2 linked regions of the Struthio camelus genome follow. The protein of the gene in region 1 purifies or fractionates together with the protein of each later gene. This does not show direct contact. Links are inferred from orthologs where the notes say so. Each region holds a gene or a part of one and is shown on either strand. Other genes may lie near its edges.

Region 1 (7,261 bases):
TGCTTCCCTGCGCAATACTGCCAGATACTGGGTCATTAGCGCCTCTGGGCCCAGCGCACCTCCTGACCTTTGCCTCTCAGCAGCCAAAGGCCGCCAGCAGTGATTGAGGGCTATAATCAGCACATCTCCACCTGCCCAGAAAGGCTAAAGACTCCCCAGTGGATGAGGAGCCCCCTTCTTCACACCTGCTCCTGCGACACTGCCATTCCTGCCCCTCTTTAGCACCAGGTATTTCGGGTAGATCCATTCACCCCCACCCCCCCCCCCCAGCCCTCTGGGAAAACAAAGGGCCAGAAAACAGTCTGAGCACATGGAAGAATAAACAGCAGCTCAGCATCAGCAAGAAGACCAAGGACTGAAGACTCAAATTACTTTCCAAGTACAGGGGGACCTGTCTGACAACAGCAAGGCAAGCAACTCGCACACAGAGGCCTAAACCAGCTTCCTACTTCGGACAGAGAAATCATTGCAGACCGTAGGAGTAGCTGGTCTAGCCCTTCCCTTGGGGATCCCCATGCCTGAATACGTCACAAACACAATGCCTCGTGTACAGACACCATTTAAGTCCTGCCTGCATCCTAGGGAAGATTTGGGGCAGCAGGACAGCAGGCTTTGGGCACATTGGGTTATCACCAGGAGAGAGAAATGAGACACAGGAGCACAGGCAATACCATTCTCACCCTTGCCTCCTCTCTGTTTATCCCACCTTCCCAGATGTTTCTTTCCCAGTTGCTGCCCCTGGACTCTGAATCCATGCTGGCTGAAGAGGACATGAAGGAAGGGTCCAGCTTTGGACCTCCGTTGCTCTCCTCCACCCTCCCTTTCCTCCCATCTGGGGCCAGAACTGCCCGACTCCCGCTCTGGCGCAAGACCCTGGCCAATCGCAAGTGGGCACTGGCTGGAGATTGGGCCTGGAAGGCCATGCCCAGGGGCTGCTTTGGACTGAAAATGGACCGGATTGGGACCTTCAGTGGTTTGGGGTGTTAGCCTTGGAGAAACTCTGAGGTGAGAGAGACAGCAGCGAGGGCAGCAGAGAAGCAAGGGGGGACTCCAGAACATAAACCATAGGGAGAACCAGGAACAGGGGGACCTGGGCAACAGGGAAGCAAGCTGAACCCAGGGGCTGATGGGGCACAGCGGGACACCGCCTGACTGCTGGTGGGCCAAAGTCAGAGAGCTTGGCTGCTACTACATGAGAGTAGTGACCTCTGGGCTACCAGCCCTCGGAGTCTGGGTGGTGAACGGGGAGCAGGTGGGTTGCACGCTGCCACGAGGCTCACAGGCATTGCTTTTGCACAGGCACAGGAGACTGAAGCGTCTGGAGAACCTGCTTGGGACAAAATGGGGATGAGCATGGCATGCCCACCGCTGAAGCCCTAAAACCCCTGCCCTAGGCTGCTGGCTGAAGGACCGCTGCAGCAGGGAAGTTATGAAGTGGTGCAAAGCGGGCTGAGCACAGGGGTTGTCCAGCTCTGCTACCGCCTGGAGCCCCAGGACCCCTCCCAGGCGTGTGCCGCCCCCCTCTCTGCTCGGCTAGCAGGTCCCGCTGCCCAGCTGGCAGGGGCTCACAGGCCTTGGCTGTTCTCTCTCCTGCCATTTGTGCTTAAGAACTGACTTGCTAATTAAAAAGAGCTGTATTGTTTGTTTGTCTCGTCCAGACTCTGCAGCATTTGCCCAAACCCCACAGCAGCACCACCTCCGCAGCAGCGACCTCGGCTGTTGTCAGGCCTCCGGTTTGTGGACAAGCGAGAGGCAGGCCAGGGACGATGCCTTTCCCCGCCGCCCTGGCACCCGCCGGCTGCCGGGAGGTGGCGGCAGAGCCCGAGACCTGGCGCAGCCCCCGGCCCGGTGGTGGCAGTGGTGGCGCAGCCCCCACGTGCTGCGGGGCCATTTTGGGTGCATGCTGCTGATCCCTGGGGGCTAGCAAACCGCAGGCCGAGGGAGCCATTTCTCAGCCCTGCGCCTCCAGCCTGCCAGTGCCGTGAGCGACCCCGTGGCTGTCCCCTTGGGGCCTAGCAGTTATATAACGGCCAGGCGGCTCCCATCACTCCGGCTAACCTCAGTGAGCCCTGAGTCTGAGATGCCTCTTCTGCCTCTCCTTCCTGCAAAGGAGAGCTGCAAAGGGCTGCAAAGACACAGCCTTACTGAAACCCTGCCGTTATGACTAGGCACTTTTCGCGCCCCCTGCCAAGCCCACGTGCACAGATTCAGCCTAATTCAGCAAGTAGGAGATGGCTGGAAGTGCAGCCGCCCGCTCTCCCAAGCCAAGCTACCCGTACCACACCCATCCTCTCCAGCAGCCAGGAGCTGAGCTCAGCCCCCGGCTGCCCCTGCAGGCCCTGCAGCCAGGGCCGCCAGGTGCCCGTCTGCCTTCCAGCACGGGCTCCAAGCAGCTAGGGTGGAGCCTTGAAATCCCGGTTGCCGGCCAGGCTCAGGGGCACGGGGCTGGGAGCTGCTGCGTTGGCTCATCCCACCTGCACTCTGTCCCCCTGCACAGAGTACTCGGCGGCACCCATGTTTGCTGAGCAAACAGTGGGCCTCCTATTTGGGCAGAAATTTAAGGCAGCCCCCAAAAGTTACCCTGACCCCTCTTCTGGCCCTTCCCAGGCTACATTTGCGATGCCTCGAATGAGGCACGGGATCCTTTGGGCTCCCTGCAACCTCCAGCTGCATCGCTGCAGCACATGAGCCATCCCACATGGCCTTTAAGAAAATGTCGTAACCTCAGCTGGGGCTAAACTTAGCTGCCTGCCCCTTGGCAGCACCGGGAATAGCAGCAGGATAAGGAGCGTTGGATTACGTCTGAGCTGGGTGACCCATCTCCAGACCCCCCCCCCCCCGGTATCTGCTTTGCTCCCCGAGCCCGCTCCGTCCTTCCCATCCTCAGGGATCCCACTCGGCTGACCCTAAAGCCCTGGCCAGCCGAGCTACAACGGGGGAAGGTTTCATCCCTCTGCCTTGCCCTATCCGGGCCCAGCTGCACATCTCCCGTATTCCCACGCGCTCCTCTCCCTGCATGCCTAAGCCGGGCGCGTGCATGCTCAGAGCTCCCTCCCCAGGGAACAGCCGCTTTGAGACATGCTCTAGGTCTCAGCGCAGAGCCGGCGGGATCCCGGCCTTGCCCCGGAGCAGCCGGCAGGCATGCAGGGCAGGGACGGCCATCATGCGAGGAGCACTCTCTCCTCACCGGCGCCCGGCCCAGGCCCTGGCCTGCCCCCAGCCAATGAACGCGCCCCGACAGCGTGGATGCGAGCCGGCAGCGCGGGGTGGTAGGCAGGATTTCCGCAGTCACGTCCCGCGAGTAGCAGCCTCCCCGGTTCCTCATTAACATGGTGCTCACGCCGCTCGGCGCAGCATGTCGAGGCCTTGGCCGGCGGCCGGGGGGAGGCTGGGTCAGCAGGCGCGCTCACAGCGCGCCTGGCTAGCGCAGCGTGGGGCAGCTCGGGGCCCTGGCAAGAGCGGGGGCAAAACAGCAGCCCCCCCCCCCCGAGAGCAGCAGGCCAAGGGCAGCACGGCCCCGCTTCCCCCCAGCGACATGTGGGGAAGAGGGGGGCTGGGCTGGGCAACCTGCTGCGCCCTCGGGATGGCCCCGGCAACAGTGCAGCCCTTCCCGCCCCCACCGGGGCCGGGGGGGCCAAAGGGGTGCAGAGAGCGGCGCACGCTGTGGCCTCCCCCCTTGTTGCCGGGCCGCCAAGGAAAGCGGCGCCCACCATGTCGCGCGGCGGCTGGGCAAGGCCCAGCAAGGCACGCGTGGCCGCACACGCGCCTGGCAGAAGCAGCCCCCGGCTAGCGAGAGGCCGGAGCCCGACACCAGGCTCCTTCCTAACCTCCCCGAACGGGGGGCTGCGGCCGCGTGGCCTCCCTTCGCAAGCCGCGGGGCTCGGGCAGGCGGCAGCCGGAGGGGCCGCGCGCGCCCTGCCAGGGGGGTGCCGGGCCCCCCAGCTCAGGTGTGCGGCGCTGAGCGCAACCCACGCACCCCGACAGCCCCGCTTCCCCCTGGGGCCAGCCATGCCCTGGCCTCCCTCCCCCCGCCCCAACATCGCACAGCGCAGAGGCCCCTCAGCGCTGGCAAGGGGCAGAGCACTGCGGTCCCCCCCCACCCCACTGCAATCCTCCCTCCCCCGAGGAGCGCTGCACCCCCCCAGCGCAGCGCAGCCCCGGGCCCCGAGGGGGCGGCGGGGGCCCCTCTGGGGGGACCTTTGCCCGCGGCCCGGTGGGGGGGGAGGGGGGCGCCGCCGCTGCCGCAGCCCCCCAGCGCACGTAGCCCGGCCCGGCCCCCGCACTCCCATTCGGCGCCGGCCCGACGGGGCGGGACCCGCCATTTCCCCTCCGCCGCTATAAAAAGCGGCGGCGCGGCGCGGCGCCACCTTCTCACTGTCCGTCAGGGCCGGGTCGGAGGCGGCAGGTAAGGGGGCTGGGGGATGGGAGGGGGGGAGACGGAAAGGCGGCGGGCGGGCGGGCAGTCCTGTTTCTGGGTGGGGGGGGGGCTGCGCTGCCGTGGGGCGGGAGCAGGGAAGCTTTGGGGGGGGGGGCGCATGGCGGCTGGGCGCCCCCGGGCACAAAGGCGGCAAGATGGCGGGGGGGGGGGGGGGAAGATTCCCTTCCCCCGGGGCGGATCGCCCCGCTCTGCGCGCCTCTCAGCGCCGCTCTCTCCCCGCAGGCACCAACATCCCTGAGAGGCGAGATGGTGAAAGTCGGAATCAACGGGTGAGTGTGCGGGGTTGGGGGGGGAGGGGAGAGGAGCGGGCGGGTGGGCGGGCGCGGGGGAGGCGCAAGGTGGCGCCAAGGACGCGCGGATGAGCCGTTGCGCGCCGCGCCGCGGGGCAACTCGTCCCCCCTGGGGTAGCGGCCCCGGCGAGGGCGGGGCACTGAGTCACTTCCCCCTTTTCCCCCCCGGCCGAGTCGGGCTGAGTCACCCTGCGCGGCGAGCGCCCGCGGCCCGGCTCGCCTTGCCTTGTCCTGCCCGGCCCTGCCGGGTGCCACCGCTCGGGGCCGGGCTGGTGACCCCCGTCGGAAGGATGCCAGGGAGATCGTGTGTCGCAGGAGCCCCGGGGGCCCTGGGGAATGTGACCTTCTCCCACCGTGCTGTGAGGAGTAACCGGATCCTGCAGTAAATTTAGCGCCTGACCTTTCCTGCGCGGCTGCCCCAAGCAGGGGTCGCTCTTAATCTTCAATTGGGGCTCCTTGGCCTTTGAACGCAGCTGATGGGCTCCCTTCTGCCCCTCTGGGCAGGGAGCAGCCGATGTCCCAGAGGGAAAGCCATGGACTGTTATGCCCTGCCTTGCCCAGCCAGCCAGGCTCCTTGCTCCTCCTACTTATCTGTGCATCTCTCTCCCCAGATTTGGCCGCATTGGCCGCCTGGTCACCAGGGCTGCCATCCTCTCTGGCAAAGTTCAAGTGGTGGCCATCAACGATCCCTTCATTGATCTGAACTACATGGTGAGTTGCCTCGTGGTGTCTCCTCCAGGCCTTCTATGCAGTTTGCCTCTTGCAGTGGGGCAGTGGACTCCCCTAGCTCTGTTCTGGCAGCTCCCCATGGATGTCAGGTGTGGGGCTGTGGGTGGAATGAGAGAGACAAAGCGTAGGGTTGTGGGCCCAGCAGATTTGGTGGAGCCGAGTACAGAGCAGCAGTTGGATCAGCTCACTGGAGAACTCTGGGATCTGTGATTGCAAGAGCAAGGGATGGGGGGTTGCAGCTAGGGTGCCTGACCTCTTCCCCCCCCCCCCCCCGCCCCCTTCTCTCTCCTTGCTAGGTTTACATGTTCAAATATGACTCTACTCATGGTCACTTCCGGGGCACTGTCAAGGCTGAGAATGGGAAACTTGTGATTAATGGGAACCCCATCACCATCTTCCAGGAGTAAGTATCTCTTTCTCCCTCTCATCCCTTGGAAGGGTGAAAACAGATCTCTCACAGAGCAACTCTTATGATTTTGTCCCTCCTCAGGCGTGACCCCAGCAACATCAAGTGGGGAGAAGCTGGTGCTGAATACGTTGTGGAGTCCACTGGTGTCTTCACCACTACAGAGAAGGCTAGCGTGAGTAGGCCAGTGGCATGTGGGAGAAAGGACGCTTGCTGCTCCTACCTGTGGGGCACATCACCATGTACAGAGTTCAAGATGTGGAGGAGATGGCTGGGAGGGAGAAGAGGGTGTCTGAGGAAGTATCTTGCTCTCCAAGCTGTTGGGGTATTCTGGGTTAACTGATCTCCTTCTCTTCTCACAGGCTCACCTGAAGGGTGGCGCTAAGCGTGTTATCATCTCTGCCCCCTCAGCTGATGCTCCCATGTTTGTGATGGGTGTCAATCATGACAAGTATGACAAGTCGCTGAAAATTGTCAGGTAAGGAGAGAAGAGGATGCTCTCTGGCCTGGAACTTTCACCAGCTGCATGGGGTCTCATCTTTCATGGGTAGGTATACTGCCTCTGGTTGATGTGTGTCTTTCTCTTTTCCTCAGCAATGCCTCTTGCACCACCAACTGCTTGGCGCCCTTGGCCAAGGTCATCCATGACAACTTTGGCATCGTGGAGGGTCTTATGGTAGGTCTAAAGCCTGCTGCTTAGTGTGTCCTATCCCCACGTTTCTTCATGTGAGAAGAGAAGTAACTGTCCACGGGCTCTGTGTTTGTGAGGGGTGTAAACTCACACAGTAAGAGGGCTAGCCTCCCTGTGTTCCTTGGGATGGGGAGTTAAGCATTCAGGATGTTTTTTGAAAGTTATTGGCTGTGTTCTTATTCCTGTGCTCTCTTCCCCAAGACCACTGTCCATGCCATCACAGCCACACAGAAGACAGTGGATGGCCCCTCTGGGAAGCAGTGGAGGGATGGCAGAGGTGCTGCCCAGAACATTATCCCAGCATCCACTGGGGCTGCTAAGGCTGTAGGAAAGGTCATCCCTGAGCTCAATGGGTGAGTGTCAGCCCTTCTCAGGTGTCGGAAGGAGGTAGACAGTGCCTGGCTGGCTCTGGCCCATTCCTAGCGGAATAGAAGGCTGGCAGAGGGGTGCTGACTGCTGTTCTGACTCTTACCTCTCTGACAGGAAACTTACTGGAATGGCTTTCCGTGTGCCAACCCCAAATGTCTCTGTTGTGGACCTGACCTGCCGTCTGGAAAAACCAGTGAGTGTTGTGGGGAAGGCCTTAACCTCCAAACCTGCTCCTGCTTCCTCCAAATTCCTCTTATCTAGAATTGCCCCCTCTACATCTGTGTCTTCCTCCCACACTCTTCCCACTCAGCCCTGGTGATGACCAGGAATACTTGGTC
Region 2 (8,116 bases), on another chromosome or scaffold:
ATATATGCCTTAGAAATATATGGTATTACAGAGACTGATCATATGGTATATAACTCTATACAAAGTTATATACCACTTATTAGGCACCATATAAATAACTCTTCTTTTAAACATACTTTACTGATATTCCTTGAAACATATGCCAAGGAGGAAGAGTGTGACTGAAGTAGAAATTGTAAGGTTCTGAAAGTGAATTGCATATATTGTAATCCATTCAGACGAGACGGGAAGTGGGACTGCCATAATTTTTGCTGTGACTTGGCCTAGGCCTGTCCTGGGATAGACTTGAGCTCAAAGCAGGGTGCAGTGTGGGCTGGGGGCCATGCTTGCAGAAAGGTGATCTCAACATCCGTAGCATCGGCATCTCTGTGTTACCACACGATGCTCATCCTGCTCTTGAAAGTAGTGTAGAGGAAGAAATTAGATATCGTTCCACTAACTTTTAATCGGCTCATTTGTTAGGTTCAACTGAAGCAGTCGTAGGGACTTCTGCTGTGTATGACCTTCCACTGATAAGTAAACTAGGATAGAAACTTCCTGTATGAACTTCCATCCCTGTCCACCAAAGTAACGTTATTATCTGTGTCAATGGGCTTTGACCCCAGTATCTGCATGCTGACCTTTTTCGAAAGCTGACTCTGAAGAAATTAAAATAGAACATGTATTCACTTCTTCTGGCCCCAAGCATAGGTCAAAATAAGTTTAATGCCTGCAGCATGCTAAGCTCTGGTTTTAGGAAGAGAGTGTAATGCCAGCAGGAGAAGAATGGTGGAAAATATTTAGCAGCAATTGAAGGTGAGTTGGCTTATACATTTCAAGATAAATTAAGGGAGTTTTGACAACATCTGAAGGTCCTTTTAGGATCTCGTGGCATCTCTGAAAAATTAATCTAAGTAAATTCTAGGCTTTAAACTTTCTGTGCAGGACTGTAGAAGTATAGTATGCTAAAGGTAGAACAAGCATTTTTATAGATCTCTACTATTTTTATCTTGTGTGAATCACGTGTTACACAGGTGTTTGCAGTTGGTGATATGACCAGAATATATTAAATATATTTTCTTAAGGAGCACTTTATGTGTTAATAAAATACTTCAAATATTCCAGAATACTGAAAAGAATGTTAACATATTCTATTTCCTCATTGTTTTTTTTAATAATACTGTGTTCATACTTGTTAAATTATTATTATTAAATGTTTTCTAGCATGTATATTTATAAATATGGTTGTCCTTTTTAAATCCTGACTCACACCATAATATTTTGATGGTACAGTAGTCTAGATTGAGATTTCATATTTACTTTGCTTTGTTTTCTAGTGAAATTAGGTTTAAGAGATTCTGTCCTCTTTCAGCTCCTTTTCAAGTTGTAGCTCTGTGAACTTTCACACCACTGTCCAGTTTCTACCAAAGTGGTGGAGGCTTTGATGGACATTTTTTTCTTTACTATATTCATGAGAGTAAGTGGTCAGATGCCCCAGGTGCTCAGATTCCAATCAGGAAGCCAAACTTCATTGGTTTTACTGCTCATAGAGTGGGTGCATGTTAATTATACTTTCTTTTAATACTGACAAAAGACGTAATGTAAACATAGCTATACTAGTGTGGAAGTACTTTAAATGGTGTATCTAATACAACTTGTGAAATTACTACATGGTATAACAGCTCAGTCTTTCTTTCCAATGGACTAAGTCTTTCCAGGACTAAGTCTTTCACTAGTGATGTTAACTTTGCTAATGAGGCTTCAAATATATAAAGCCAAATAATGCAGGACCTTACACTGTAAGACCTTATTAAGTAATGAATAATCTGTGGTAGCTAACAGGTCATTATGGTGTGGTAGAAGCTTGATGGAGAGCTGACAAACGAGTAGCAAAAAAGTCAGACTATTTCCAGAAAATGTGAAATGATGATATTGCTTTCTATTGTGGATTTCACTCAGAAGACTGGAACTTGACTTCTGGCTATTGTATCCAACCCTTGTTGGCAGCGAATCACTGTATAAATAAAACTATTTAGTCCTTTTGTTTTGGTTAGTTTCCCAGATTATGTCAAGGTTAAATTACACATTAAGAGGAAAATATCTTTTCTCTTAAAAAAAAAAAAAAAAAAGTGGTTTAAATATTCCTCAGTTTGACATATAACAAATGAAAAAATATGCATTTGATATGGTTGTATTTTGTTTAAACAGTCACTCATGCTTTCTATTAGGAATAATGGGGAAAAAGTAATCTGTATCTTACCATAGCTGAATATATCTGCTTTGCGTGATGCTGAGATGAGGTGCTTTTGCATGACATACTTAAATCTGTATTGGTTTACATTTTTGAGCCCTTGACACCTCCTTTTCTTGAAATACTAAAAAAAGTATTGAAGCAATGCAAGGTGTATTTTAGGGGAAAATCAGAATTATGAGGTGTGATTCAGAGATTTTGATGACGAGTGGGCTGATAATGTTCACTTGTAGACATTTTCCTGTACTATAAATTACAGTACTAATATTGGCAATTTCATAAATTTCCCCAATAGAGCAATATATTAATTACAGAATGTATTTTCATTGTGTAACTAGACTAGTGACAAAGTGAGAAGGATGATGATTATAGCAAATCAATGCGGAGAGTTAAAATAAGACAGTAGTGAGTAATATAATGTTCAAAAAGTGGTTTGTCCTGTTGGATACTGCATCCATGTTCCCTTGAAAGCCTAGAAGGTATATCTTTTTGTTCCTCTGCATTAAAAATTGACTTGCATTTGAAGATTTATATTATGGCTATCGTGCATGAGAGGAATTTATTCATGTGATGAGCATGTTCTTTGTAACATCACTGAGTTGTTACCGAAGAAGTAACTGATTCGTATTGTGAGCTGTTCCATTGGTAGGGGCTGGAAGTGCTGTAGCCGGAAAACTCTGGATCTGTTAAACTGGAAAGCAGTGTTCAATAGAGTAGGTAGTGATTGTATTTATCATAACCCCATTCTTCCCGTGTGAGCCACATGAAAACATTCCCTCCCTCCCTCAAGATTAATTTACAGTTGTGTAGTATATTTTACATCTCCAGTAATTAAATTATTTCAGATCTTACCGTGGATGAAATTAGATTGTGGCGACTGGAAAGGAGACCATGTTCAGGTTATATGAAGTCCAAAACCTTGTTATTTAATCATTTATAAGTTCTTCAGTTGTGTTTTTGAAAAGAATATCATCTTTCCTGTTTAAATTATGCTCTAGGCAAGTGCAAGATATACAGATGCTACCACCATTCTTCGTTTCTCAAGTGAATAATCTAATATGGATTTGCAGCTTCTTGAACAGAAGTCTTGGAATATAGAAAGCATATATGATCTATCCTGTACGTCTCATTCCAACATAGAAGATCCCTTTTCATTGTGTAGACTCTTAAATTCTATTCACCAAATTGGAACTTGCCGACAAAATCCCCATATGAAGGTCAGCAGGGTAAAGTGAGAACCTGGATGCCAATGTTGATTTTAATTTCCTGCTGCACGTATCCAGATATATGCATCAGTGGTCCTAGCTGTTCTCACAAGTTCTCTTTGTTTGCATTTTATCCAGGCAGGCTTCTCAGTTATATGTAGAAGATAAGAGAAGCAAGTACGATGGATTATGCCATAACTGTGGGTGTTAATTCCTAGCCGCTTAAATGTATTGCTTTTATGAGATGATGTTCCTTTTGTTATCCTTTACTTAATTCCTACAGAGAACTAAAGTTAGGTGCACAGTTAATAAATAAAATTACAGGTAGCAATCTCTTTCCAATTGAGAGATTCAAAGACTTGAGCAATTAGTCTGTCCATTAGGCTGAAATCGCTAAAGGCTTGGAGACTGTAACATAGGCTTTGTTAGAAATTTCTTCTGAAAATGCAGATGATTTAAGGCAGTTCTTCTGCACATGTTTTAGTAGAGGAGTATAATAAACCCGAACTTTTTATGAGGACTATCAACAAGTACCTGGGGAGCTTCCTGAAGATCTGATGCCTGACAAATTACATCTGTACTGATGGAGATCAAACAGAATTGATGCACAAAACTACTGATGAAAACTGTAAAATAGCTTAATAGTTTAGACTCTCTCTGCAAACCATTGAAATTGATGGGAGGTTTTCTATGAATTATAGCTCAGAACATTGACACATATGTACAGAAGACTTATGACAGCAGTTTCTGTTCTCTCCATCTAACTTTCTGTGAATACTCTGCATCCTACATAGCTTCCCCTTCACCCCTGCAGCCTTCTCAGATGGACAGAAATACCTACAGCTCTTAAATGCAAGGTGTGAGTTAGCCTGAAGAGCCATTTGGCTATAGCTCAGTTAGTCATGCTTGACCTCCAAATCTCTGTGTGAGTCTGCTGCAGAGACCATAGAGGGCCGTGTTCCTATAACACCAATGGGGTAAGACTGTTTCCTGCCATTCGCACCGTTCTAATGTTGTGGGAATTCCAAGGCGTTTTACAATCTGGAATCAGTCCTATGTAAGTTAATATATGTAACTCCGTTACAGAAGCATAAACATATGAAGCTCTGCAGAAGATGAAACTCAGCGTAGATTTTCAGCAAACTGAAAAGACCTAATACAGTTGCTTCGTGAGGCCGGAGATGTAACAAAAGAAATAACCTAACTTTTTCCCAAGCCAGGAACAGATCTTCTGCCTAAAATGGATTTCTTCTAATGAAAGTCTTACACACCAAGCATGAAAATCACTCCCTATAGCCAGCAGAGGAATATAAGGAAAGGCAGCAGCTGCTCTTCTGTGCCCTGGGATGCGAAGAGGAAACGGTATACCCCAGAGGAAACTGAAGCTTTGTCTTGCTAAAAAACAGTGGAGAAAAATCAGCAAGACTCCTCTGGTGAGTAATGTTATATGGCTGATGTGGGCACCTCATGAAATATGGAGTGTGCATAAGTGAATCTGTATGCAAGCCAGTGGTGATGCCAGGGGATTCTTCCGTTTAAACATGTAGTTGGTGAATGTGAAATGCTTTCCAAAACCACATTTTGAGAGTTGGTTCTCAGTACTGTAATTCATCGCTGAATGGATACAGTAATATCAGCCAGAAAAATGCTGTATTTCTAAGACTATATATCCATGTTTCACAGTAAGTGAAAAAATTCTGGTACTCTTTTCTCCTGATATCTACCTTGCTGAGAAGATTTCTTTTTATCTAGGCAGTAAGTTTGAGAATTTGATCCCTCTCTAATGGTTCTGATTTGCTTACTGTATCCAACAAACCATCTTCCTTCTTAAATCCACTCACAGCCTCTCCTTACTGTCCATCACCTCTGAATGGTACTGAGTCATTAAATCCTTCCTCCAATGACCTTGACACAGTAGGCTCCATGCCTTTTTGCTAACTACCCAGTTAGAATATTCATATTTTCCTATACTTCTTTTCATACTTCAGAAGAGATTTTGCACATTTGAACATCTGCAAAGTTCTCTCTGTCTCTTTCATTCAAATCCCAGTAAACCTTTTGCTTGTTTGGTGGTTTGTTTTTCCTATGCCTACAAAATAGAGGATAAATATCAGGATGTCAGTGTACTATAACTACTTTCTATACTGCTAATTTTTATTGTCTTGCTGCTTTCTTTTGTCTATATCCTCCTTGCTCTCTCCCACCTTATGTAATAAGCTCTGTGGGGCAGGGACTATCCTTTTAGGTTTATGTTTGTTTAGCAGCTAGCGTACTGCAGTCCTGGCACGTGATTACAATTTCTAGGCATGACTGTGGTTAATAGAAGAAGAACTTACCTGTGTAACTTAGCCTGGTGTAAAATTGGACTTTATACTATGACAACTTTACCTATATGAAGGGACAAATGATCAAATAGAAGTATGTAAAGATGATCAATATCTCTGAAAGTCCAATTGACATAAGACATTTTCACCTTATATACTTGTGTCATGTAATCTGGAGAGATGGTCAGTTGGGAATTGTATAGGGGAAAGAATTAAATTCAGTCTTGCACCAAAGAAACGGAGCCACTTGCATCTGGACTGTGTGTATGTATGTTAGCCACAGGACTTGCTCGTGGCTAACGTCACAGCTTTTCCCTGTACGTTGTCTCAAATGTGGCATCAAAAGGATGAGAAATCGTCCATCACCATTCAAATGTCTTGGTTCAGTAGGATTACTCCATGAGCTGCAATCATGAAGAGCTGAATTTTTCCTAGTCCTCTTGCAGGTACAGGGAGGGAAGGGAAACAAACATACCAATCTTATTTTTGTGCACATGTGAAGACAAGGGAAAATTGCAATTGGGGAAGTGCAGCAACTATTCCATCTTCCCCCAGGACATGCAGAATCTCCTCTTAGGAACAGAAACCCAGGAGTCCAGGTCCTGTTCTGCTTTTCTTGTAACTTCACTGAATTCAGGGTATTTGAGAATACAGAAGATTGGTACCATATGTGTTAGAGAAGTTCAAAAGGAGACGTATTAGAAAGGATACTCACAAATTATGCCTGCCTGAACGAACTTTGGCAGATTGCAAACACACTATAATGCATACGTTACTGATAAGTTGTGTTGTAGAGAATATAGTCCTTTTGATGTAGGAAATAATATCCGTCACATCTCTAAAACTGTAAATGACGTTTTCACATTAGCCTTGTAACTTTTAGGGGATCTTGTCTGTATGGGTAATAGCGCATAGTTACAGTGCTTGTCTAAGTTAATCTCTGCTAGTACACCGAAAACGTATATACCAGGTGATCCAAAAGGCAAAGAAATCAACAGTTCTTAAGGTTGTTGGCTGCAGTTAGTTTGTACAGTGTTTTTAACGTGCTTAAGACAGCTCAGAATAGTTAAATTTCAGTGTCTTCATAAGCGCGGTTCAAAAATTAAGGTGACAAAATAATGAACCGGTAGTGGCTTAGAAAAGTTCCTCAGCTGGACTAAGAATTTTAGGGGCAATATTCACTTTTTACTTGTTTTTTTTTTTCCTTCCATCAAGCACAAGAGATTGTAATTTATAACCTCCCAGTTTAACTTGTATTGATGAATTTGGTAGAGATTTTTTCCTTTCTAGGATATGAATGAGTCGTTTCACTGTCTTTCTCTTTGGGGTGAGCAGGCTTTGGGATAGTATTTTCAATGTTGTTACATGCAAGCTTATATAAGTTGCTGAGAGGATGCATTCACTCAGCACTACTGATGTAAGCAGATGCCCTCCCCTGCTACCCAGTTCTTGACTGTGACGGTACCCAGGCTGTACTGTATAAAATCCTGCTGATAAAAGTTTTACATAGTAAAAGGATTTTGTAGTGGTTTCATTAAGTGCCATGTTACAACAAAGTCACAAAACTAGAAAGCTGCAAAGATGAAAGTGAAATCTAAAATAGTTTATGAGGATTTATGGTAAACATGTATATATTTTAGAAGGCCTCTGGCACTAATAACCCCCGTGTCTATCCTCTAACTAGATTAAATTAGTTTCCATTAGAATCAGCAGATGCAGCAGCCATGGGTTGCTTTTCATTCCCAGGGGGTACTTTCTCCTTGGTAGCAACCCCAGATACCCTTTTGCTTTTTCAATGTCTATTTGTTATACAGCAGTTAGGAAGATGGCAATAAAAATGGGAGAAAAGCAGGGAGGTTATGGTAAACATCAGTGAAAATGGAAGAAAAAGTTAGAAGTGGCCATGGCTTAAATTAGTTTCTTTAATGGACTTGCTAGCTAAGGAGAAGTTGTTGAAATCTGAATAGTGGAATAAAGCTTTCAAGAGAGAAAGAAAAACACTTCTAAGGGCCATTTATTGGAAGCTCACTGATGAAATTTATTGATTATGAAAATCATTGTCTATAATATGATGACTAAAGGGACAGATTAATCTCTGTTGAAATTCTACTGGAGTCTATATATTTGCAACTGGTCCGCAAACAGTACAGTTTAGGATACATACAGAGAAGATTGATTGTATTGCTGTGGCAGTAGCTTCCTCTAACTGTAGTCCAAAATTTCTAAACATGTAGGATGGCTAGCAGCAGGAATAGTTTCTTGTAAGAAATCCCCATGTTCTAGAGCTTCTATTTTTTGAACAAACTAGGATTTTCTTCCATTAGCATTCTCTCCATGAATTTTTAAGGAAGCAGGGT

Evidence for each region.
Region 2: the proteins of GAPDH (region 1) and SIAH1 purify together in Homo sapiens (affinity purification with western blotting; 4 studies listed by BioGRID). This does not show direct contact. The link is inferred for Struthio camelus from reciprocal best matches to the Homo sapiens genes GAPDH and SIAH1.

What each region holds. Positions count from the first base shown.
Region 1 is NC_090942.1:90,956,844-90,964,104, reverse strand, and holds the start of GAPDH (glyceraldehyde-3-phosphate dehydrogenase), read left to right. Parts: upstream 1-4,215; 5' UTR 4,216-4,405; intron 4,406-4,660; 5' UTR 4,661-4,684; coding exon 4,685-4,707; intron 4,708-5,339; coding exon 5,340-5,439; intron 5,440-5,753; coding exon 5,754-5,860; intron 5,861-5,947; coding exon 5,948-6,038; intron 6,039-6,225; coding exon 6,226-6,341; intron 6,342-6,457; coding exon 6,458-6,539; intron 6,540-6,755; coding exon 6,756-6,907; intron 6,908-7,037; coding exon 7,038-7,116; intron 7,117-7,261. UniProt on the Homo sapiens protein: Has both glyceraldehyde-3-phosphate dehydrogenase and nitrosylase activities, thereby playing a role in glycolysis and nuclear functions, respectively.
Region 2 is NC_090951.1:15,989,414-15,997,529, reverse strand, and holds the start of SIAH1 (E3 ubiquitin-protein ligase SIAH1), read left to right. Parts: upstream 1-4,849; 5' UTR 4,850-4,868; intron 4,869-8,116. UniProt on the Homo sapiens protein: E3 ubiquitin-protein ligase that mediates ubiquitination and subsequent proteasomal degradation of target proteins.